Ovis aries: one gene and its partners. The protein of the gene in region 2 interacts with the protein of the main gene of each other region in a pairwise test. Links are inferred from orthologs where the notes say so. Each region holds a gene or a part of one and is shown on either strand. Other genes may lie near its edges.

Region 1 (3,500 bases), on a different chromosome or scaffold from region 2:
AAATGTGCTTGTCTGCACAAATGAAATTTGGCAGTTTCATTTCAAGAGGTTTAAAGATGCCCTCTGTCTTGCTCATTCATGAACTGCAGATAAAGACCTCCTACTCCGGTGTATTCTGTCATTCTTACTCTTTGCTCATACCTTGACTTACGCTATCTTCTCTTTTCTGTCATCCTGGCTATCCAAGATGATTTTGTTCACTTGAACTGACTCTTTTGTAATGAGTAAAATTTGGGGTGTATCTTGAACTTCTGTACATCTCCATCAGATAACCCTGTGTCTAATACAGTATGATCAAATTAAGTGCCTCATCTTTTAATCTAGTTTAGTTGATGTACCTGGATGTTCTCTCCCCCCACCCCCATTTTTTTTTTGTTGAGGTTGTGTTATTGGGTAGATATCTGACTTCTCATTATGTTCTTCATTGTAGCAATCTGCAGAGCGCTGTGTGAGCACGTTGCTTGATCTCATCCAAACCAAAGTAAATTATGTGGTCCAAGAGGCGATTGTTGTCATCAGGGACATCTTCCGCAAATACCCCAACAAGTATGTCCAAATACTTCTGCCCCTCTTCCTCAGTTCGTTTAGGAAATGTTTAAATAAAGCACTTTGAGACTGGCTAGGTAAGAATTATTTGGTCATAATTAAATGCTTTATTAAAAATCAGAAACGTGTAAGTTTGTGAGCACGAGGATTAAAATCTCATTTTTACTGTTTTATCACTTTTAGAAGAATTGAAGCTCTGTCTGAATATGCATTGTCGATTGACATATTTTTAAAGTTAATCAGGTTCTTTGGTGATGAAGTTACTATTAAATAGGATACTCATGTCTGGGCATAATCCATTTTATGCTTCTTACCAAGCGTAATTAATAAATGTGCCCCCTTTCCACTCTCAGAAATGTCTCAGTTTGAGTAATATGGCCACCCTATTGTAAAATCCAGGAAGGTGACAGCTTCACTATTCACTTTGTATGTTACCTAGTACTTTTAGAAAATTGTAGAACATGTAACGATAAATTATCAGCGTTTTAGACCTTTTCTCAAGTATGGTAGCTGCTTCCATTAAGATATGCAAAATCTACATTTTCACTTCACAGAAAATTTTCATGTTGAGGTCTTAGTTTGTGAAACATACACTTTTTCAGATTTGCTTTTGAAGGCAAGCAATTAAAGAATCTGAAAGAGTGAAATAAGCAGATTCAAGGGGGAGGAGATATATGTATAATTTAAGACTGATTCGTGTTGTGTGGCAGAAATCACAACACTGTAATGCAGTTACCCTCCAATTGAAAAAAAAAGAGCAGATCATCTAAGCACCCTAAATGTCATTTTACCTTATAATCATAGAGATAGGTTGTGCTGAGGCTTCTGACTAATCTTTAAAGATCATATGAAATGAAGTGACTTACAATTAAGTTAGTTTAATGGTGGACTCAAAATTAGAAGAAATATTTTAACAAGGTAGTGGTTTATTAAGTGTTTTATATATTTTTTTTAATTCTAGAAATTGTATTTTTGGGAAAAGGATATGCTTTTACCACTCTGTCAGGAAAGAGGGGTTGGGTTTCTAAATTTCTTGATTAAGTGTGGATACCTTGTCCATGGTTTTGCTTTTAGTCTTCATTGTTAAATACAGTTCTCAGTTTTGCCCTCAGTAACCATAGTCCATTTTGTTACATCAGATACGAAAGTATCATTGCCACACTGTGTGAGAACTTAGATTCACTGGATGAGCCAGACGCTCGAGCAGCTATGATTTGGATTGTGGGAGAATATGCTGAAAGAATTGACAATGCTGATGAGTTACTAGAGAGCTTCCTGGAGGGTTTTCATGATGAAAGCACCCAAGTAAGTTCTCTTCTATACCTAATGAAATAGATGTTTGGGGGAGGATTTCAGGAAAGGTAAAGGTTAGGCAGTTTTGTGTGTCTGAACTTATATATATATATGTGTATATATATATAGTCTGTAGTGTATATATAGTGTGTATATGTGTGGTGTGTATATATGTGTGCATATGTTCATTTTTTTCCTGAAAGCAAAAGGGGTGAGCTTTTTCAGTTGTGCTGACGTCTGTTGGAACAAGCCTGTTTAGCTTACGCTAGTGGTTCTCAAACTTTAATGAGCTGTAGAAACACCTAAGCACTGGTATTTAATCTCTGTTGAAGCTACAGGTTGCTGGAACCCACATTAGAGTTTCTGACTCAGTAGGCCTGAGATGGTTCATTTTTACAAGGTTCAGAGTGGTGATGCTGCTGCTGCTGCTGCTGCTGCTCCAGAACCATGCTTTGACAACTACTGGCTTAGAGCGATAGTTAATTATAATTTTCTGTCACCTAAAGATGATTGCCCATTACTGTCAATAATGGTTGTGGCTCGGTTACAGCTGGAGTTTTTGTCGGGGTGAAGGCTGGCATGTGCATTTTGAAAAGAATCTTCCTTCCCACCTTCTATCTGTCCTCTACCAAAATTGAGAGACCTTGAGAGACTTTTGAGTCAAAGGCCCAGAGAAGCAGATAAATTATTAAACCTTTTCCCCCTGGTGTTCATACTCACTGCAAATTGAAGTTCATAAATGTATTCTATCATAGTAATTTTAATAGGCCCTGACAAGGAATACATACAAGCCAGTAATTTCATGGTTCAGCAAGCCACTCTTAATTGACTGTGATCTAGTATAATTCTGTGGTCTTGGCTCTTGCCTCAGTATGATAAACGATTCTCCAGTTCCCCAAAAGTTGTAGCTTTCGGTGGAAGTAAATAATAGAGAATTTGGTCAGGAACCAGTTTTATTGCCATCAGCATGTTAGCATATACTTTAAGAAATATAGATGATTAATCTGAGGCATAAACAAACAGGCAGTTTTTGATGCCAAAAATGCAACTTGGAGGTAGGAGTCTAGTGAGTTTTCAGTTGATGAAAACCTTTGACTGCTATTGTTGATACTGGCGGAGTTTTCAACCTTTGTCTATTAATCAAAACCAGAAAGGCCTTGTAGTAAGTCAGTCAGTCATGTTTGGGGAAACACCACTTTGGAATTGGTGGTGTGGAATAATATGGATGCCTTTCACTTCATCTATTAAATTTATTTAGGTGCAGCTCACTCTGCTCACTGCCATAGTGAAGCTGTTCCTCAAGAAACCATCAGAAACACAGGAGCTGGTGCAGCAGGTCTTGAGTTTGGCAACACAGGTAAGAAATCTGGAAAAAGCATGGAGTTGATTTGTCTTGTTTTAAATTCTTGGAAAGTGTAAAACTTCTCCCAAGAAGGTTCATTTGGGGAGGTTTTGAATGTAAAGAGTACAGTCTTTAGATTCTGTTAAAAAAAATTCGAAGCAGTACTTCTTTTACATATTCTGCTGAATTAGAGGAAAAGACAGTGGCACCCCACTCCAGTACTCTTGCCTGAAAAATCCCATGGACTGAGGAGCCTGGTGGGCTGCAGTCCATGGGGTCGCTAAAGAGTTGGACATGACTGAGCAACTTCACTTTCACT
Region 2 (4,233 bases):
GGTCATGGTGTTTTATTAGATGTCCAAGGCATGAAAGCTATTCTGTCACTTGAAAGACACGCCATCCTCTTCAGGACATAGTCTGGGGCCACTCAGTGAGAAGGAACCACGATGCCAGTGGTTCTCCAATGCTGCTGTGTAAGAAAACTTCCTGGAGAGCTTGTTGGAAATCAGATTCCAGGAGTCTGTATTTTTACCAAGAACTTCAGGTTATGGTGATGTAAGTGATCTGAGGTCTACACGTTGAGAAACCTGCCAGTAAGTGGAACTATTCAGAAGAGAAAGATCATTCACAAGAGAAGAGCCCTACGGCAGTGGAATGTGAACTGAGTAATATAAACCCGACCGACCTGTAATTAATTCCCTATAATTCACAAATCCACATTAAAAAGCTGAGTAAGAGTAGAGGGATTTAATCACACCTCCTCCTTAACCCTCTTTATGGAGATTTGAGTTTGCCTCAATCTAGTAATTTGGAGAAAACATGAATTTAAGCAGAGTTTTATTTCCAATAATAGGGATAAGCATTAAGAAAAAGGAAATTGCTAGTCAATTGCAAAAAAAAAAAAAGCTAAGAGACACAAACATTTCAGGGAACTAACTTGCTACCACTTGTTTTATGCCCTATTTCACAATGCTTAGTATCTGAACAATCCACAGGGTTCCAAAGTACATCAAAAATGTGTTCATTTCCTCTCTTACTCAGGCAGAATAATAATAGACTTTTGTGAAGGTACCATGTGCCTCAGAAATTTCAATAGATACATTCTTAAATAAATAGCCTTCAAAAACAATTCTATCAGAAATTCACCCTACTGCAGCTACTTATAGAAGTCTTAAATAGCTTTTGGACCATCACTAAATTAGTGTCCTTCATTTCTGAATTTGGATTACCTAAAGTTTTGGGGTTCTTTACAACTGTCCTACAGAAAGAACTCAATACTGAAAAATGTTTTTCTTCTTTTGTTATAAGCAAACTCAAAAATAACATGTTTCAGGTGAACTATTAAAAATTTAGAAACAAAACACAGTATTTTGTTCTCCATAATAAGTAGAAATCATAACTTTAGGGGGGGTACTAAGCTTCTGCACCTTAAGTCATATAAAAAATAAGGGTATCCCAACAAATATACTCCTATTTCAGACAGTAAGAGTAGCACTACATATACCAGCCGGCCTGCTGGCTCCATGGTCCCATTTCATACCCTCAGATCCTGTCCACTACATAAACTCTGAGCCTGGTCTTCATCCTTTCAAAGGGATTAGTAAAAACTGTTTCCCCGATGACAGAATTGAGATTTTCCAGACGCATTTTTGGCACGGTACTTGTTTTTTATTATCTATACTTTTTATTGCACTTGTTTTATTTGGACGTCCCGACCACGTAAACATTAAGAGCAGGATGCCAGCAGATAAAGCACAAAGAAACGCAACTATTCGGAGTCGCATCTGTTTAAATTTTCAGGCTGGTGCTGCCTCCAGAATAGCACCGAGGATGGCAAAGTTCTAAAGGAAACTTTCATTTTCAGAGGCTATCAAAAAATCTCCAGAGCCTTCAACTCAACACAGACGCCCCTAATGGTTTTCTTCAAAAACAAAGCCTTTAGTATGAATCACAACAAAAGATGCCCATAGGAAATGTAATCTACGAAGGTGCTTCCTAATCCAAAAGGCAAACAAGAAGAGGGAAAGGCGCAACCCCATTCCTCGTCGGTTACCTTTTCCTGGGGATTCTGACTGCATTTTCCTCGGTCAAGCCAGACAGAGCCTGGTAACTGTGGCTTCGGTCCACACTGTAAAACCGTGTCAGTGCGTAAAGAAGGGGAAAAGGAAGCGGCCGACACCGGGAACGCGCTCCCCCCTTGAAAGGATGAGCCGCTTTCTGTGAAATACCACCGGAGTCAAGTCAGTCCCAGCTGGAGGACGCGGGGCCAAAACGGCATTGACTGCCCTTCACTGACAGGGTAGGTTGTTTTTTGTTTTTTTTTTTTTGCGGGCGGAGGAGAGAGAAGGGATGAGCCGGGGAGGAGAGGCCGGGCATTCCGGATCCCCGGCAGGCTGGCGGGGAGGCGAGGCTCGGCCGGCCCGCCCCACTCGGGCGACCGCGGGCAGCGAGGTCAGCCCTGCAAGGGACCCCACTGCCCCGCGTGCCCCTGGAGAAAGGACGGGACCTCCCCCCAGCTCGGCGGGCCACGGCGACCGATGCCCATTCAACCCCCAGAAGCCCGTCCCGCGGCCGCCGCCCACCCCCCAGCCTCGGTCCGCCGCGGAGCCCCGGCCTCCCGGCGCGTGCCAGCCGGCCGCCACCACCACCACCCACCCAGCCACCCCCGGCGGCTCGGGAGGATGGGAAGGACGAGTCACAGGGCGCCTCCCGGGCGTGCGGCTCAGGGTGAAGGGCGCCGGGAGGGACGCGCACACCGGCCCCGGGGTCGGGGCTGGGGGGTGGACTGGCGTCCCGGGCGGCCATCGCGCCCACCCTCGCCCCGGCCGCCTGCCGGGTGCAAGGCAGGCCGACGCGGTCCAGCCCTCTCCTCACCTCATCTCCAGGCGGGTCCACGCTGCCGCCTCAGGGGGACAAAAAAAAAAATCAGTGCAGCTCAGTCGCCGCGGAAAGGGGACGCAGGAGCCGCAGCCCCGCACACCATCCCCGCCCGCCTCTCGGGGCGTCCGGGAGTCCGCCCGGGATTCTCCCTCGCGAGCCGCCGTACTACCGAGCAACCAAGCTGCGCGCCCTCCCGTCTCCACCTCAGCTCTCGGCCTCCCTTCGCTCCTCTCCCTCAGTCCCTCGCTCCCGCCTATCTCCTCATCTCCCCCGGGACCTGCCTCCCCCGCGCCCTCTCCGCCCCTCCGTCTCCGCCCACGGGGGGTGGGTGGGGACAGTGAAAAAACAACCAATCGAAAGAAAGGGCTCACACCTCCTCTCGCCCCCTCCCTCTAGCCCCGCCCACCGCGGGGGAAACGCAACTGAAAAAAAAAAAACCTGGAAGAGGAGGGAGTGACAGCCGGATCGACAAATCAGCAAGCTCAGAGGGGGCGGGACCTGGCCACCCCCAACCCCCGCCCCCCGCCGTTCCGCCCCCTTTCCCGAAGCAGGCGTCTGGCGTAGGGTTTCCCGACGTGCCTAGAGGCGTCTGGTGTGGGGCTTCGGGACGTTTTGTTCCATGGTCTCGGTGCCATTTGGCGATGCTGTGCTAGGCGAGGTACAAGTTAGGACGTCTTCAACTAACGGCAGGTGTCACAGGAGATAACAATGTGGCGGCACAAGGAGGGCGGGGCACAGTCCCGGGAAGGTGGTGGGGATGTGGTTGGAATTAGGAAGGGTGTGGTCTTGAACAAATTTACATAAAGCTGAACCCGTCGGCCTCTAGGACTTCGCGCCTTGATTGATAGCCCCAGGTGCGTCGCCTTGGAGTATGCCGGGAGATGTAGTTCCGCGTTCGGTTGCTATGCTGGTCTTCTCGCATTAATTGGTAGCCCCAAGCGCGTCGCCTTAAAGCATGCCGGGAGATGTAGTTCTGCGTTTGGTTGCTATGGCGGTCTCTAGAGTCCGAGACTGACGAGCGGCCTGACCAATGGGAAGAGGCTCTAGTGCTTAGGGGGCGGGTCCTCTGCTGAGGGGCTTGAAGGTGGCGGAGGTGAAGCTGCAGGCCGTTAGAACCGCTCCGAGGCAGGTGAGCACCGAGAGACGCGCTACGTGTCTTGGGAAACCGGCCTTTGGGCGGAAGCTTGGGAGACGCCCCGCGAGACCGTCCAGCCCTGGGGTGCAGGGTGGTTTCCGTCGCACCCCAACCTTCTTAACACCTCTTGGGCTCAGGCCTAGCTGGCTTAGCTGAGGCCGCTGAGGGGCGGGAGAGACTTGAGTTGCCTGACGATTTCCTGGTTTTTACTGGTTTTGATGGTGGATGTTAGTTTGCATCTTCCTCCACTTTCATGGAAGCAAAAGTCTCCTTCCACCGAGACTCCCAGGTTGGAGTTTATCCACTCCCGCGTCTTTTTGTTTCTATACTTTGAGTTTCTTTTTCTTTCTGCCTTACTGGTTCCATAATACTGCTTTCTCCTCCGTCACTTTTTTTTTTTTCCCCGTTGAACAATTACGTAAAACAGGGGCGTTCGGGTTTATGTAACTCTAGGTCCAGATTTGCCCTCCAGATTTAAGCTAAACCGAGGAATACTCTGGAGCAACGCGTGAGAATCACCTCAGAACCGTTTTGAAGTGCAGACTATGATGCT
Region 3 (4,200 bases), on a different chromosome or scaffold from region 2:
ATTACATCAAAGAGCATGCAATTTGTATTTCCAAATCTGATTCAATAAAATACTTAAGCTTAGACAGACTTAGAAAGTAGGACAACTGACAGTTTAGTCTATTCCTCTGTATGAGCCATATGATATTTTGAGAAGGTGGTCTTGATTTCAATAATCACTCATTTCAAGGTTTTAGTCCTGGCGAAACCAAGTTTATACTGAAGGAAAAATTACAGATGCTAAACCAAGAAAATTCCCCACAAGGAATACTCAAGTATTATTCCCCTCAAAGCACAATTGCTAGTGTGTGATTTGAAGAGTTGTCAGAAAATTACTCCATAATTTTTTAAAGAATCTGTTTACCAGTTCATTTTGCCAGTATTTATATCATCTATAATTTTTGAGACCAAATATTTTATTTGGCAAACTAGCCTTAGATAGAAATGTACAGGGAAACAGACAGATGTAATTTTTGAAATAGCTTGTATTTGAAGGCACTCAACTCTCTTCTCATATAAAGTAGCTAATAGTTTCTCTTAAGTGAGTCATTTTTTTTTAACAGTCATGGAATTTTAGATCTAGAACTAGGAATATTTCAAGGCAGTGACTTTACTGCAGCAACTTTAAACTGAACTAATACATCCAAAGGAAATTATTAACAAGGCCATTGATACTAGACTTGTACGAACTTTCCTGTTTCATGCAAGAATATGAATTTTCTGAACCAAGGGTAGCTTCTGTCAACTAATCGTTTAAACTTCATATGTTTTGCAAGATATTCGATATTTCTTCATGACTTTGGATTTCCTTTTTTTAAATGTAAGCAAAACTTTATCCTTTGACATTAGATAAATCAGGATACTTGTAACATCTCTTGCCTTCCTTTCATTTCCGTTCAAGTTGGGATAAAGACTGCCGCTATACATGCAAAATTCCATAGGCCAATAGAAAGCTGCTCCCTGAAGCGGAAATTCGGCTATAAATAACAGAAAAAAGGCAGTTAGCTCCCTCCTGGTTTGTTTGCTTGTTTTTTAAAGATAACAATTTGCAAAATGTTTGCATTTATTCCTAATTTTGCTTTCCTGGCTCTGAACATTCCTCATCCCAGGGTCTGACTAAAAGCCAGACTGATCCATCATCACTTTACAAAGCCATCTGCGAAGACCATAAAAGCTAAAGCTCCGTCTTCAATTGTTACTTTTATTATACACCTTTCATCACTGTAATTCCATAACTTCACGCGTTATGCTGGGGGGTGGGGGGTGGGGGAGACAGAGAGCAGTGATCTCTCAAGAACAGAACCAGCTCACGGTGTCAGGAGGCGACAGTCTCGCCAGAGTCCAGAAAAGAGATAACCTCTCACCCTCGGTGGCGAGGGGCAAGGGATGGTCGGGGGGCTGTCCCGGCCTTCTCCCCGCCTCAAACTCCTTCCCCTAACCGACAGAAAATTCCGCAGCCTCCTGACCAGGAGGAGAGGCGAGCCCCGGAGCGCGGGGCGGGAACAGCGCCGGCACAGACACTGTCGCGGGCACCTGAGCCGCCCCTTCCCACCACCTCCCGTGGCCACCGCACTAGGCTAGGCGCGCAGCATCTCAGCCCTGCGGGCTGAATTTCCATCTTCGCGCCCCCGAGCCCCGAGGTCTAACCCCCGCAGCTGCGGCGGCCCCTCCAGGAAAGCGCAATTTTTATCCCTCCGGGCCCGGAGGAGGGGTCCCTGCCTGGTCCCGGCTCATTCGGGCTCGTTCAGTTCCCTGAACACCCGCCGCGCCGCGACTGGCCAGGAATTGGCCTCGGCCTCGGCCGCGGGCAGGGGGCGACTTTCCAGCGATCGCTCCCTAGGACCGCGCTTCTCCGTGTGTCTATCTGAATCTCTGTCTCTCCCTGTGTGCCTCTCTCTCTTTGTGTCTCTTCTTCTCTGGCTTTCTCTTTCTTGCTTGAGCAAGCGCGCGCGCGCGCACACACACACACACACACACACACACACACACACACACACACACACTCACACAGAGGAGGGGGCTGTCTCCACTCCCAAAGCCAAAATGTCACCCAGAAAACAAGTGCAACAACTTGCTTCGCCCACGACTCGGGAGCCGGTGGAGAAATGCCCTGCAGCGAGCGGCCCCCTCCTCCCCGGCAAGGTGCAGGGGGCTGGGGGCGGGGGGTGGGAAAGCGGCCGGTGGACGTGCCGGGGACTGCCGTTCAGCTCCCCTCCCCCTCTGGGACCCTGTCGCAATTAGAAATCCGTCCGCGCCCCGGCCCGGGGGCGGCGTTGGGGAGCGTTTAGCCGCGAGGACCGCACACCCGGAGAGGGGCGCGCCGGCCCCCGGGTCTCCGGGGGTCGCAGAAGTGCGCCCTAGGCGGCGGAAGGGGTAGGAGAAGCCGGCTAGCGGTCCGGGGAGCCCAGCCCGGAGTTCCTCCACTGGCAAGAGCAGCGGCGACCGCGCGGCTGGGAAAAGCCACTGGGAACTCGGCGGTGGCGGCGGCCCGGGCTCCCGTGGCCCTCTCCGCGAGCGCACGCCCCAGCCCCCGGCGCAGCCCGGCGTTACCTTGCCGCTGCCCGCAGTCCGGCCCTCGGTCGCCGCGGCCGTCCGTCGGTTCCCGCGAGCTTCGGAGGCAGGACGAAAGAGGTGTCCCCGTGGCCGGGACAGGCTCTTAGCGACGCGAGGCGAAGGACTCGAGAGAGAAGCCGAGGCGGCTGCGACCGCTCCCGCTGCGGATGCCGCCGATTCCCCGGGGCCGGAGGTGTCGGAGAGGCCGGGTCCTCGGGATTGCGGCGCCCGGAGCGCAGCGCTCGCCTCTGGCGCGGAGGCTCAGTGGCGGGACGCGGTGGGCTGGGGCGGCGAGGCTGGGCTGGTCACCCGCCCCTGGGTGCATGTTAATACGGTGGGGAGGAGGAGTCCCGCGCTTCCTCCGCCCAACCGCCGGAGCCGGCGGGCGAGTGACGGCCGAGGCCCGGAGCCCGCGCTCCCACCCGCCCCGGCTACTACGGTGCGGCCACCAGCCCTGGCCGCGGCCCGGCACGTGCGCCTGGGCCGCGGGGAGGCGCCCGGCGTCCTGCGGGTGATGCCCGCTCCGCCTCCGGGCGGCAAGTGCGCTCACACGGGACGCAGAGGCCAGCCCCGCATCCCAGCGAAGGAACCGGGAGGCGGCCGCGCGTTGGTGGGCGTGCCCCGTGCGTTCCCCGGCGCTGCATCCGCGGAGAATGGAACCTGCCCCGCCTCACCTGCCAGCTCTGGTCCCCTAATCTTACCAGGAGCGCTCCACACTTTCTGTCACAGGAGAACACGTAGGCGGGTAAAGGGTTTGCCCTTTTCTCTCCATCCTCGGGGTCCCTAGTAGAATTTTTGAAAACGCAATCGCCAGGGAGGAGCCCGGGTTGTGGACCTAGTCTAGACTCACCAGGACCGCCTGCTCACACCCCATGCCCTTACTTCCAAACAGTTATTCCTCAGAGCCTCAGTTTCCCCATCTGTACAACTGAAGGCCATTGTACAACTGTACAATCTGAAGGCTCTTGGGGGCAGCAGGGGGAGGGGATTGTGGATTAGATTACACAATATATATTCTACCGGTTTCTCTAGGTATTTAGAGAAAACCAAAAATAATAGGGAAATGAATTCCTTTTCTTCCTGTCCTCTGACCTCAGTAAACGCTCAGCTCTCCATCTCAACTGCTTTTGGGAGCCACGCCCATTCGCATAGGCTGAGGACCACAAGTCCACGAGCTCTGAAAGTAAAAAAAAATCCTTAAGGCTTCTAAGTAAGAATAGAAATAAATATTCTGTGAATAGGTGAAATTTGGGTCAAAGAGAGAATGGAGTCAATCAATTGTTTATCGAGCTCCTGCGCAACCCACTTAAGTACTAGGTTCTGGGTGATAAGAGTTAAAATAGTGGTTAATCACAGTCTTCCGGTCTCCCTCAATAAAGAACGGGCGACTTCACGGAGAAGGTCTGTCCTTTGTTCTACGGCTGCCAGAGAGAACGTTATGCCAGAGAGTATATAATCTTCTTTATGTAATTGTACCCATAAACTTATAGCATAAGATTTAGCATCTGCTTTGTGTGATATCTAATTATAAATATTAATAGAATATCCTTTTTAAAGAAAACACTTCTAAAAATGCAGAGACGTGAAAAACAGTTTCCATAAAAATATGACTCAGATAAATAGTCACTTTTTCGCAATTTCACTGAGTGATTTTCCATTAAAGAGGGGG
Region 4 (3,500 bases), on a different chromosome or scaffold from region 2:
CCTGCTTGGACTGCTCATGTCGCTCGTACAGAAATCTGGAGGAAGACATAAAAAGCACTCAGGGCCACCCTGCTCCTCTGTCCCTCCTCCATTCCTTGATCTATATTTTTTTATTACTTACTAAACTAGTTATTCATGTTCACAGTGCATAAATGAGAAAAGTAAGATGAGTTCCATAAAAAGCCCATGATTCTACCACTTGCAGATCAAACCACAGTGAACATTCTGGTGTCCATCTTTCCAGACTCTTCCATGCATGTGGCTCTCACATAAATGTTACGAGATTATACCATTCCTACTGTTGATAACCTGCTTTTTACACTTCATGGAACATCACCCACATCTTTCCATGTCAGCTAATACTGAACAGAAGTCTCCTTTATTTTCCCCCTTGCCATCAAGTTGTTCTTTTGAGGACCTGGCTTCCTGTGATCACCGTATCCCCATCTAGATCACGTCCTATCCCTGTGGCATGTGTGAGTAGCCATCTGAGCCCATGTAGTCTCAGGTCTGCAGGCGGACCCGTCACTCACGTCAGCTCCTGGAGTTTGGTGCTTTTCTCATGTTCTTCATTCTTTAGCTTCTCATAGTCAGCCTGGAGCTTCTCCAGCTCTAACTGGAGTTTCTGATTCAGGCTGTGGAGAGCAAGGAAGTATTGGGGAGAACAAGGAGATGTCAGTGAGGGACAAAGGGGAGACTGACCCCTCCAACACTTTCCTTCTTGTACACATAAGTCCTTGTAGGGTTGACGCATCTACCTCGGGGTATATTAGAGGCGGACTCAGGCTGCTGCTTCCATGGCAGGATAAGGGGCCCTGAGCTATCAAATCAGAGAAGCCTGGAGCACAGGGACTAGTCCTCACTCCTTGTACCTCCTGGAGCTGGACTGCAAAGTCATGTCTTTGCTGGGGCATGACCCATAGAAGTTAAAGAACTGGATCCTGGTGCAAGAGGGAGTGTGTGCGTGGACCCAGCAAGGTGAGGGGACCAGGTGGAGACTGGAGCCACCCTGGGGAACTCTTACTCTTTGAGCTCATCGATCGTCTTCTGCTTCTCATTGATCTCGTCCCGGAGCCGGGCCAGCTGCCGGTGATGGGCCTCCCGGTGGCTCTCCATCTGCACCTCCAGGGCCTTCTGCAACACAACCCCACCCAAGCTCAATGCCAGACTCCCAGCCACCAGCTTGGTGAGGGCCCTGCCACACCCCAGTCTCCCCAACACTTTCCCCACTTGCCTTCACATCTTCTGAGTCCTGGGTGTCTGGTTCCTTGTCCTTCAGGGCCACCTCATGCACAGTTTCTGAGGGAGAGGGAGGAAGCGGTTTATATCACACCTACCACCTCCAGACAGAACTTCACATTGTGACCAGAGCGCCGGGCAGGGCAGGGCACATTTACCCTTAGAATGGGCCCACAGGGATGTTCTTCTGGGTGAGGATTGTCCAATTTCATATAGCAGGGACAGAGAATGATGGAGGGTTTATGGTTCACGTAAAATGAGCTACATGCCAAAGCATGCTAAGCAGCATGTGAGCTGGACTCCAGGATTTCAGTCTAATGCTTTGGTGAGTGTGCTGATAGGCAGCTTCCTGTGATGTTTGTCGCTTTGCCTCCTAACACCCTCTCTGATCTCAGGTCCCAGGACGGGTGGGTTGGAGGTTTAAGCAGGCCTCACCTTGGGCCTGGAGCTTGGCCAGCTCGTCACTCAGGGAGTCATAGGACTCTTCCAGGTGCCGCTTCTTGAGTTCCACGCTCTGCATGTATTCCGTCAGGGAGCGGATCTTGGCCTCATGCTGATGGGGTGAGGGTTGGTGACGAAGAAGATAGATAGAGTCAAGGGCCCAACTCCAGGCAGCACAGACCTCCACAAGCTCCAGCTCTCCCCGCTCCTTGCTACACCTTCCACCAGGATGCAGGATTGAGGGCCATTCCTCTGGAGACCCTTGCTTTAGACTCTCTTGGTTCAGAGGGCAGTATCCCCCTGAACCTTCAATTCTCTAGCCTGGACCCTCTCCTGCTTCCCCTAGCTCTTCTGTCCTTGACTTCAGTTGACCCTAGGCCCTTGACAGAAACATCGGTGCTAGCAGTCATCCCACAACCACAGAGTTGCCTCTCCCACGGCACCCAGAGGCTCTCTACCTCTGGCACTCACCTGGGAGATGAGGAGTTGGCAGGATGAGAGCTCCCGCCCAGTCACTTCCATCTTGCGGTGACATTCGACCTGAAGGTTCTCCAGCTGCCGGCACCGCTTGACCACAGACTTGACTTCAGATTTTATTTTGCTGATGTAGAGTCGGGCCACCGTGAACTCCTCCTCAATGGCCCCGCTGATCTCCACTGGCTGTGGGGTGAACATGGGAGGGAGGAGGTGCCTCTTTGCTCCTGGGAAGCCCCTTATCCATTTCCTTCCACTCGGCCTAGCCCCACACACACCCACAGGCACAGGGACTCCAGTGGGACAGGTATGTTCCAAACAACTTTTAGCAGCTCTGTACCACCTGGCTTTTCACACTGAATCCCCCTCTCTGCATCCAACGATCTGTTCTGACAGCCACCCTCTTCCCTTCTATAGAGAAACAGGATATTCTGTAGTCAGACTGATCCACTTGATCACACAGATGGGGCATCGTCACTGCCACAGATCTCTCTATATCATTCCTAATTTTGTGCCCCCGTCTCCAAATCCTGCTAAAAGCACATCTCCACTGCTTCCTTATCCAGCAATGTAAATTTCACCAGGTATGTAGATCTAAAATGTGTATTTCAGTTGAGTCTATGCAAACCTCTGCGTGTTTTCCTGTGTCTAGTTTGCAGGTGTGCTTCCTGGATCTTGTCCCCCTCCTCTCAGTATCTCTGAGGACATGAGTGTCTCACCTACACCTCCCACCAGTGCCCAGAACAAGAAAGATCTGAACAAGGCCGCCACGTCTTTCTCCACTCACCAGCTTAATCTCCCCGTTGCCCACGATGACACTGAACTCACTCAGGTCCTTCATCAGCCCGTTCAGTACCTCAGCAATCCGTTTTCGTTGGTGTCCACTGACCTCCTGCAGCCGCTGCAACTCAGACTCCAGGGACAGCATGGTGGCCTGGGGACAGTCCTTCAGGTCATGCCAGCACCATCTTCCTGCTTCCCTCCCCCACCAGCCAGAGGCCTCTCCCTTCATGCATGACCCTGATGGTTGCTACAAAGAGAACACAAGCCCTGCAGAAGGGTCTGGAAGAAAGAATGCTCAGGAGGGTAACGTGATGGAGTGGGAGAGGGGCCCACCACGAACTGAAGGACAGCACAAAGGTACAAACACGATACCACCCTCTTAGGAAGCAGAGTTCCCTCTGGACGCAGAAGGTGTTCTGAGGTCAGGGTGCTCCTGGCTGGCCACTCACCACCTTCTGAGACAGCTCATCCACCAGAAGCTGGTTCTGCTGGCTCTTCTCCTCGACCTCCTGGGACTTCTGGTCATAGTTCATGGCCAGCTCCTCCAGAGCCTGTAGCACTTC
Region 5 (3,500 bases), on a different chromosome or scaffold from region 2:
GTACCTGGAATTCCCAGGGGTCGTGATTTCATCTGAGCATTAGAGTCTGTCACAGGGAGGGAGGGGGGCCTGCCTCCACCCTTTGTCCACACAGTTGGTGGATGGGGAAAATGTATCTATGAAATTCATCACAAAAGAGGTAGACATCTCACCTGGGGGCAAGTGGCCACTGAAAATGATGAACAGTTAAATCTTGACTAACTGGAATGCTTGGGAATGTTATTTTGGTGAATTATAGGACTTTCTTAACACAGTGGGCCATGGAGTTAAACTTAGTTTCAAGAGTGATGGCTGACTATCTGTTAGACCTTGAGCCACTTTCCTGCCTTAGAGTCTTAGGGCAGGGAACATGATCAAAGCATTCCTTGGTTTTGGTTTCTCTTGATATGTCTGATTGCCTTTCCTCTGCAGCTCAGCTTTCATTGCTTGGTCCGCTTGGATGTGGAACTTAGAGAATGAAGACTGAGTGAGAGAATGCAAACTGCCTAGACTGACCTTTAAGAGAAATGCTTTTAAATCCCTAATGGGATTTTTCCCTTTGTTTATTTGCCTCTTTTTGCTAAAAGTCGAAACAAACAAAAATATAAATATACTCAAAGGTTCAAGTTAGCTAGATTCCAGTTAATCAGGTTTTACTGTAGATCATTCTTTAAAAAAAAAAAACAAACTTAAATTTATTTGTAAATTGAGCCCCTCCCCTCCTAAACAGGAAGTGGGATATTTTAAATCAGCCTCAAAGTTTAAAGGATGTGAATGGTCATATAATCAGCTAGAAATGACATCGATTTCTATTCTAAAAGCTAGGATCAGGAGAGCTTTTAGAAAAAGGCTTCTGTTCAAAGGGAAGTAGGAGGGGTGAGGGGGATCGGGGAACAGGTTTAATCTTCCAAATGCATGTTGGACAATCCACTCATGCATTTTTTGTTTTCCACTGCTAGTCAAATAAGACTACCTTCCAGAACACTTATTTTCAGATTCCTTCTGTTGCAAACCTTTATAACCACATGTCACATTTCTGCTACATTCCAAAAAAGCGTTGCAGAACCTTAACAGTTGAATGTTTTGTGATGTCGTGCATGCAAAATCTACACATTTCAACATTTCGGCCAGTGTACGGGAGATCTTCCTAAAGGAAGAATTGGAGAGGGATGGGCCCAATTTGGCTAAGGCATGAGCACTTCTTGCTGAAGGACTCTTTGCCTCTGCGTTGGGTGCAGCTGCGGCATCTATGGTCTAACCGCTGACCAGATTTGGTAACTGGTGGGCAGTTGAAAGGGTGAATCTCTGTCTTACTTACTCTCTAACTTATGGAATGCTTGTTTGGGCCAAATTACCTGTAATTTTTGCTTCTGAAAAATCAAACCTTGATACATATGTGTATCTCAACTTCCAAACTTACCCCCAGTCTTTTCTAAATCTGCAATTTTGGTTTCGGGGATTTAGAGAACATAAAATTCCCTGGGTGGCGCCTCTTTCTTGAGGTTAGTCTCTGTCTTGAGGTACACTTTCTGGAAAATGTTGAAACGTTCATCAATAAAAGTTGCTGACAGTGAAGCTTTCACTGTAGTATGCCTGATTTTTAATGCATCAACAGTTTACTCCCACTAATATCATCTATGCTATGAGATGAATGCATTAGAGACGGTATTGATCTGTTCTGCATGCCACATACTCATCCTGCCTTTGCACCAGCAGGAATGAGATTGTCAAGGCTTGGAGATGGGCCTTGGGAAACCAAAGCTTCAGGCAGGCAGGCAGCACCTACTTGTTACAGGGACACACACAAAGCCCGCAGAATTTTCCTAGATCCGTCAAATTCTTTTCTGCTTCTTTCATGTCCTTATTGATTTGGTCCATCCCTTCCTCAATGCGTTCCAGTTGTTCTGATTAAACACAAGTATTTTATCCCCACAGAATGAAGCGGATGGAAAAGGACAAAGAAAAAAAAGACAAAACTTCAGACATTCACTTTGACATTAAAGAAAAAAAAAAAAAAAAGAAAGAAAGAAAACTGGACGCCACAGATTAGAGCTGGTACCCAGTACCTACTTGTTACAAGGACATATGAAAAGGCCACAGCATTTCCCTAAATCTTTTAAATTTTTCTCAGCCTCCTTCATGTCTTGGTTGATATGGTTCATGCCTTCTTCGACACGATCGAGTTGTTCTGGTTAGGACAAAGGGATGACAGTGTGGAATGAATTTTTTGGGGGTTTTCAACAGAACATGAGAAATGAAACGGAATTTGAGAAAGAGGGAGAGCTATTACAATGCATTGTCTGAGGAGATGCATTGCTAGAATCGGCTGTCGATGCCCTGTGCAGCCAGGGGTGGAAGGAAATGAACAAAAGTGATGCTCATATAGTTTATAGTTCAGACATGATGGGATGGAGTAGATAAGCCTGCTTGATTCTGAATGTCCAGGAAAACAGCACAGCATATTCACTTACTCAGACACCAGTGAAACTCAAGAGAAAGAAAATAGGGTGTTAGTTTGTTTTAGGCATTCAAATGCAATGGTGCTAGAGGAAGTGTCTGCTTCAACTTTAAAACATCTCTCTCTTTTGGTTTTTAGCACCCTCAACCAGCTAAGGATAGAAAATAATCCACTTTCTCCTTTGGGAAGAATAACAACTATAGTGATAATTAGCAATAGGTACCATATCTTTTCTTCCCCCTAGCAATGGCTGTTTAGCCAAAGGCAGGCCATAGGCAGTCTTTGGTTTTGAATATTCAATTCATAGAAGCTGTAAGAAAAGCAATATCAGCACAGCAACATTACAGGTACTGGACCATTAAATTCCTGGAGAAAGGCGATGGATTGGAACATGAAACAGTACTAAGTCATCAGTGCCAGGAAAGCTGACCTTAGACAGTATCTTAAGACATAGACTGATGGCCATAAAAACGAATCATACTTCTAGGTTGCCAGGGTTACATTCATCAACTTGATTAAGTTTTCAAAAGTGGTGTCATTAAATTGAGTAAATTACAAGTTACATGAAGTGATTTTTAAAACAGCTTTTATGACTTTTTGGCTTTTCATGTAGCTCAGTGGCAAAGAATCTGCCTGCCATTGCAGGAGATGAGGGTTCCATCTCTCGGTCGCAAGATCCCTGGAGGAGGAAATGACAATCCACTCCAGTATTCTTGCCTGAAAAATCCCATGGACAGAGGAGCCTGGTGGGTTACAGTCCATGGGGTCACACAGAGTCAAAAGCGGCATAGTGACTGGGTGCATAAGACCATTAAGGCAGCAGTGGGATGTCCTGGCTGGCTATTTACAAAACCTAATTACATTTCTATTCCTCTTTTCAACTATATTTTCATGCATGCATGCCTATGCCTCTGGGAAGAAAGATATGATTAGAATAAAACTAGTAAATATTTTCCTGTATAAAAGGGCATAAATAATTACTTAAAAACAATTTCACATTAAATTGTCATTCCAAACTGGAGAGACTGCCTGTCCATTTGGAAAATAAGAAGCTATTGTGTTG
Region 6 (4,291 bases), on a different chromosome or scaffold from region 2:
AGGGTGGGCCAGAGCTGCACCCTGATGGAATGTGAAGATTGGGATCCCTTAGACTGATAATGTTGGAATCCATCTCATCAAACAAAAACATTGTCAGCTGTGCTGAAGTCAAGCAGAAGACAGCAACAGATCACAGATCAGTACTGGGCAGGAGCCTGGATTTTATAGGCAGATGCTTCATTTCACGGGTGTGAGACAGGTCCAGGGGGCTGAGGTATTTGCCCAGATCACAGAGCTAATAGGAAGCAGATGTGGAAAGAAAACCTAGAGTTTCCTCATTCATTTACTCCTTTTCCATGAGAGGAAAGGGACTTTCCTTTGTTGTCTACCGGGAGGCATGTTTTGGAACGGTCTGTAAGGAAACAGACTGCTGAGAAGGGTCACAACTCCCCCTGATGGAGATATTCCCTGACATTTCAGGGGCATTGCCAGGACCTTGGGCTGAGCTCTTCTCCCGCAGCACCCCCAGTACAGCACATTGTGCTAGGGGGTCCAGGGTCATGCCCCCCAGGAGGGTCCTGGACCATCCCTGTGTGATCCTTCCAAATGACACACTTATAATTTTTATGTGTAGCACCAAATCAAGAAAGAGCATATCCATCCAGGAACAAGTAAAAAAGCAGCATTTTCGTTTATTTTTCTGAATTAAAAATTGGTGATGTCCCCACCTCCAGGTGCAGAACTACTGCCCAGGCTCCTCAAAGGGCAGCTCAGTCTAACCAGTGGGTGGGGATTGGTCGGTCAGCCCAGTGCAGGCAAATAAAACATGTAAGGCACAGCCTAGAAACGTATGAATCCAACAGTCGCAGGAATCAAGGTCACCAAAATCCTGACATGCTGTGAGGCTGAGGTGCCTCTCTTTGAAATTTGATCGGGGTACATTCAGAGGACAAAGAAAAGGAAGTATATAAAGGCAATGAACTCATGACATTCACGGTGCTAAGGTTCAGACTGCAGAAATAATGAACTCAAAATATTCTGGTATTCGGCCAAGGACTAGCAGGACCTGTGAAACTAACGTCAGCGAGGACCACCCTGCCCTTGAGTGGCCGGACACGACCTTGGTACCTCTGTGGGCGGCTGGGCTCTGGTCTGTTTCCCAGGCCTGCGCCACCCTTAGGAAATCCGAAACCTGCTGGGCCCCCGGAGGCGGCCGAGGCGGGGCCTCGGGTTGGGGCGTGGTCAGAGGCGGGGCCTCGGCGCCCGGGGCCAGCCAGAGGGGCGGGGCCTCGGCGGGCGCGCGTACGCAGTCCTGGGCAGAGTAGAGGACGCGGCCCCAGGGGTGCGCGCGCGGGCGACGGGGGCGGGGCCGCAGGCCCGGGGGCGGGGTCTGGGCGGGCGCGCGTGCGCAGGCGCGGGTCGGGAGGCGGCCGCGTGCTGGGCTCTGTGTGTGTGTGTGTGCGCGCGCGCGCAGGCCGCGGGCGGGGCGCCCCGCGGGGGACGAGGGGCGGGCGGCGGGCGGCGGGCTTGGGGCCGGGGGCGGGGCTCTGAGACTCGCCGGGCGAACGGGGCCGGGAGCTGCGGGACCTGGGGCGAGCGGCGAGCCCAGGCGCGGAGCCTGGCGCCGGCACCATGGACGAAGACGACAGCTACGGTCAGTACGGCCCTCGGTCCGGCCGGCGGACGCCCCCTCCCTTCCTCCCTTCACCGGCCCGGCGCCTTGGCCGCGCCTCAGGCGACTCACGTTTCCCGGGGACTGTGGTGCCGGACGCGAGCCGGGCGGGGCGGGGGCCTCCTCAGGGCAGGGGGCACCGGGGGCCCCGAGTGTTAAAGGCTGAGGGGTGATGAGGGGCCGACGTCGGGGTGCACGGGTCTCGGGGGCCGGCGCTGGGGGTCGCCGGGCTCCAGTCTCTGGGGCCGCAGTCGTAGGACCGGGGTCTCGGGGCCTGAGTCTCCGAGGCGGAAGTCCTCCAGGGTGAGGGTCTGTCTCGAGGCCGGGGTCTAGGGCGGGGTTCAGAGGAGGGTCTCGGGGTCCGGGTCTCGGGCGGGGGTCTCGGGCCGCTGTCCCGCGCAGGCCCAGCCTCCCCCGCGAACGCTCAAGTTCCCCCGGCCGTTCTCCGTAGTTTCCGGCCCCTTCGGTGCTGGCAAGTTATGTACCCTGGTCCATGTCTTTGTTCAGAAACAAAAATGAGAAAACACAGGCAGCGAACCCCGAGTGGACAGGCTGCCACCTGACGGTGCCGTCGGGGCCGGGATCTCCTGCCGCCGGCCACCCCAGGGTCCGAGGCTGACCGCCTCTCCGCGGAAACGGGGCTGCTGTTCCCCCAGCGCCTGCGGGGCGAGCCCGAGGGGCGCCGAGAAACCCAACTTTGCCTTCTCATCTGTGCCCAGAGACGCGGCACAGCCCTCACGCCACACCGACAGCGAACGCTTGACAAAACTACCCGTTTCCAAAGCCTCCTTCTGCTGACCTCACCTGGGAACTGTTGGCCATCCGCAGGGCATTCGTCTGTCAAATGGCTTCAGATTGCCAGGCTGGCAGAAGGCTATGTGGAATGCTTTCGTTAATTTATTTAACGTTTTATTCCCAAGAGATGAAAGAATGGCAGATAGAACAAGTGGTGAAGTTTTGTGGTTTGGTAAGCAGAGTACAGACAGCAGTTTGAAATGCTTGTGTGGCTTAGTGGAAGCGAATCCGCTTTCTTGACTAAGTGACATAGGCGACGTTTGTTTCTTAAGCTCTGAGGGAGCAAGCTTTGTTGTGGGGTATGTTAAAATGTGAAAGGTGAAGCACCTTGTTACTTTTCTGTTTGTTTACGAGTAAGTCATTGAGGAACCACTGACCGCAATAGGTGGGTTTATGACCCACAGTGGCAGACAGGGGAAAGGCCAGAGCACGTGGGATCGGTGTCCATCAGATGTCCCCTGGTTACCTTCCAAGTAAAAGCAGTGTGTGCTTTTCCTCTGTGATTGAAAAAAGAGAAAACACCCACGATTGATCCCAAAGGACTTTTCAGCCCCACTTAGGTGTCTGTTTCTGCCCACCCAGGAGAAGCCTTCTCCAGCTTTGCGTGCTCCTGTACCATCTCTTGCTGTTTAATCCAGGCTTTCTTCATGCCCTCTCCTGGTGGTCTTACCCACCGCTCGAGGCAGGAAGCTGTTGGTCTGGTTGCTTTGAACACAATGACTGCTTTGCCACCAGGCATGGCATGAATTCGTGCTCAGAAAGGGTGAATGGAAGCAGGGTGTATTTGTTTCCTGTGGCGGCTGTAACAGATTGGCACAAACAACATAAACTTGTTATCTTACAGTTCTGGAGGTCAGAAGTCCAAATTTGGTCTCACTAAGCTAAAATCAAGGTGTTTACTGGGCTGTGTTCCTTTCTGGAGGTCCTAACAGGAACATCTGTTTCCTTGCCTCTTCCAGCTTCTAGAGACTGCCCCCGTTCCTTGGCTGCTGGCTGCCTTCCACCTTCAGAGTCAGCAGGTAGCATCTTCTCAGTTCTGTCTGGCTTCTGCCTCTTCTAGTTAGGGCTCTGTGACGCCATTGGACCCACCTGATAAGGATAAGGATCAGCAGCCTTAGTTCTCCAATGGTAACCCCCTTTTTGCCACGTAGGGGCGGCGTGTTTCCAGGTTCTGGGATTAGGACAGGGCTATCTCTGGGGCCCATTATTCTGCTGACCACACATAAAGATGAGGAAGAAGTTGTTCTTTTCTTTCTGTTTGTACAATTAAAAAAAAAACATATTCTTCGTATATTGGAGGAAGCAGAAAGGTTGATTTAAAGATTTCCCCCACTCATTGGGTTTACCACACAAAAAGTACCTAATGGTTCAAGATGATCATAACAAGAAAAAGGTTCCTAGTTCTTTTTAAGGTTTGCCTCAGTCTCCAGAACTTTCCATTTCTCTCCTAGGTTTTACAGAGAATTTACCTCAAAAGATAAGACAACTATTCACATTCCACCTTTCAAACTAAAGTGGGTGCTGTGGACTCAAACAGTGCATAGAATGCCAGGTCCAGGGGGTTCCCTCGGAACCTCCATTGGTGGTTCATGAGTCAGCCTAGGTCACTACCATGATTTTTTAACATTGTATCTTTGGGGACAGGGTTTATGATTTCCATGCTATCACCTTGCTAGATAAAACCTTTGAAGCATAACTCATTTATAATAAGCTAAAGAAAGAGAATGTGTCTTAGAGTTTCTCTGTTCAACGAAAGAGAATTTTGAAAACTCACCAGAAGGCTTTTCCTAACTGCATACTCTTTGATGTTCTGTGCTGACCCAGAAACCACACCACTGAGTTCAGCAGCCCTTTCTCTTGTTCACTCCCTGTGATCCTGAGTTG

What was found.
Region 1: the proteins of ITSN1 (region 2) and AP2B1 interact in binary tests that used the Homo sapiens proteins (3 or more experiments, as listed by UniProt). The link is inferred for Ovis aries from reciprocal best matches to the Homo sapiens genes ITSN1 and AP2B1.
Region 3: the proteins of ITSN1 (region 2) and DLGAP1 interact in a two-hybrid assay, tested with the Homo sapiens proteins (2 studies listed by BioGRID and IntAct). The link is inferred for Ovis aries from reciprocal best matches to the Homo sapiens genes ITSN1 and DLGAP1.
Region 4: the proteins of ITSN1 (region 2) and KIF5A interact in a two-hybrid assay, tested with the Homo sapiens proteins (2 studies listed by BioGRID and IntAct). The link is inferred for Ovis aries from reciprocal best matches to the Homo sapiens genes ITSN1 and KIF5A.
Region 5: the proteins of ITSN1 (region 2) and SNAP25 interact in a two-hybrid assay, tested with the Homo sapiens proteins (2 studies listed by BioGRID and IntAct). The link is inferred for Ovis aries from reciprocal best matches to the Homo sapiens genes ITSN1 and SNAP25.
Region 6: the proteins of ITSN1 (region 2) and CYTH1 interact in a two-hybrid assay, tested with the Homo sapiens proteins (2 studies listed by BioGRID and IntAct). The link is inferred for Ovis aries from reciprocal best matches to the Homo sapiens genes ITSN1 and CYTH1.

What each region holds. Positions count from the first base shown.
Region 1 is NC_056064.1:14,441,927-14,445,426, reverse strand, and holds part of AP2B1 (AP-2 complex subunit beta), read left to right. Parts: intron 1-430; coding exon 431-546; intron 547-1,685; coding exon 1,686-1,851; intron 1,852-3,097; coding exon 3,098-3,196; intron 3,197-3,500. UniProt on the Homo sapiens protein: Component of the adaptor protein complex 2 (AP-2). Adaptor protein complexes function in protein transport via transport vesicles in different membrane traffic pathways.
Region 2 is NC_056054.1:122,553,501-122,557,733, forward strand, and holds the start of ITSN1 (intersectin-1), read right to left. Parts: upstream 2,801-4,233; 5' UTR 2,540-2,800; exon of another isoform or gene 1,420-2,539; intron 1-1,419. UniProt on the Homo sapiens protein: Adapter protein that provides a link between the endocytic membrane traffic and the actin assembly machinery. Acts as a guanine nucleotide exchange factor (GEF) for CDC42, and thereby stimulates actin nucleation mediated by WASL and the ARP2/3 complex.
Region 3 is NC_056076.1:38,844,655-38,848,854, forward strand, and holds the start of DLGAP1 (disks large-associated protein 1), read right to left. Parts: upstream 2,801-4,200; 5' UTR 2,529-2,800; intron 1-2,528. UniProt on the Homo sapiens protein: Part of the postsynaptic scaffold in neuronal cells.
Region 4 is NC_056056.1:162,087,638-162,091,137, forward strand, and holds part of KIF5A (kinesin heavy chain), read right to left. Parts: coding exon 3,387-3,500; intron 3,089-3,386; coding exon 2,942-3,088; intron 2,341-2,941; coding exon 2,152-2,340; intron 1,793-2,151; coding exon 1,675-1,792; intron 1,300-1,674; coding exon 1,235-1,299; intron 1,135-1,234; coding exon 1,025-1,134; intron 636-1,024; coding exon 534-635; intron 36-533; coding exon 1-35. UniProt on the Homo sapiens protein: Microtubule-dependent motor required for slow axonal transport of neurofilament proteins (NFH, NFM and NFL). Can induce formation of neurite-like membrane protrusions in non-neuronal cells in a ZFYVE27-dependent manner.
Region 5 is NC_056066.1:3,369,300-3,372,799, reverse strand, and holds part of SNAP25 (synaptosomal-associated protein 25), read right to left. Parts: intron 2,168-3,500; coding exon 2,050-2,167; intron 1,884-2,049; coding exon of another isoform or gene 1,766-1,883; intron 1-1,765.
Region 6 is NC_056064.1:52,903,694-52,907,984, forward strand, and holds the start of CYTH1 (cytohesin-1), read left to right. Parts: upstream 1-1,491; 5' UTR 1,492-1,572; coding exon 1,573-1,594; intron 1,595-4,291. UniProt on the Homo sapiens protein: Promotes guanine-nucleotide exchange on ARF1, ARF5 and ARF6. Promotes the activation of ARF factors through replacement of GDP with GTP.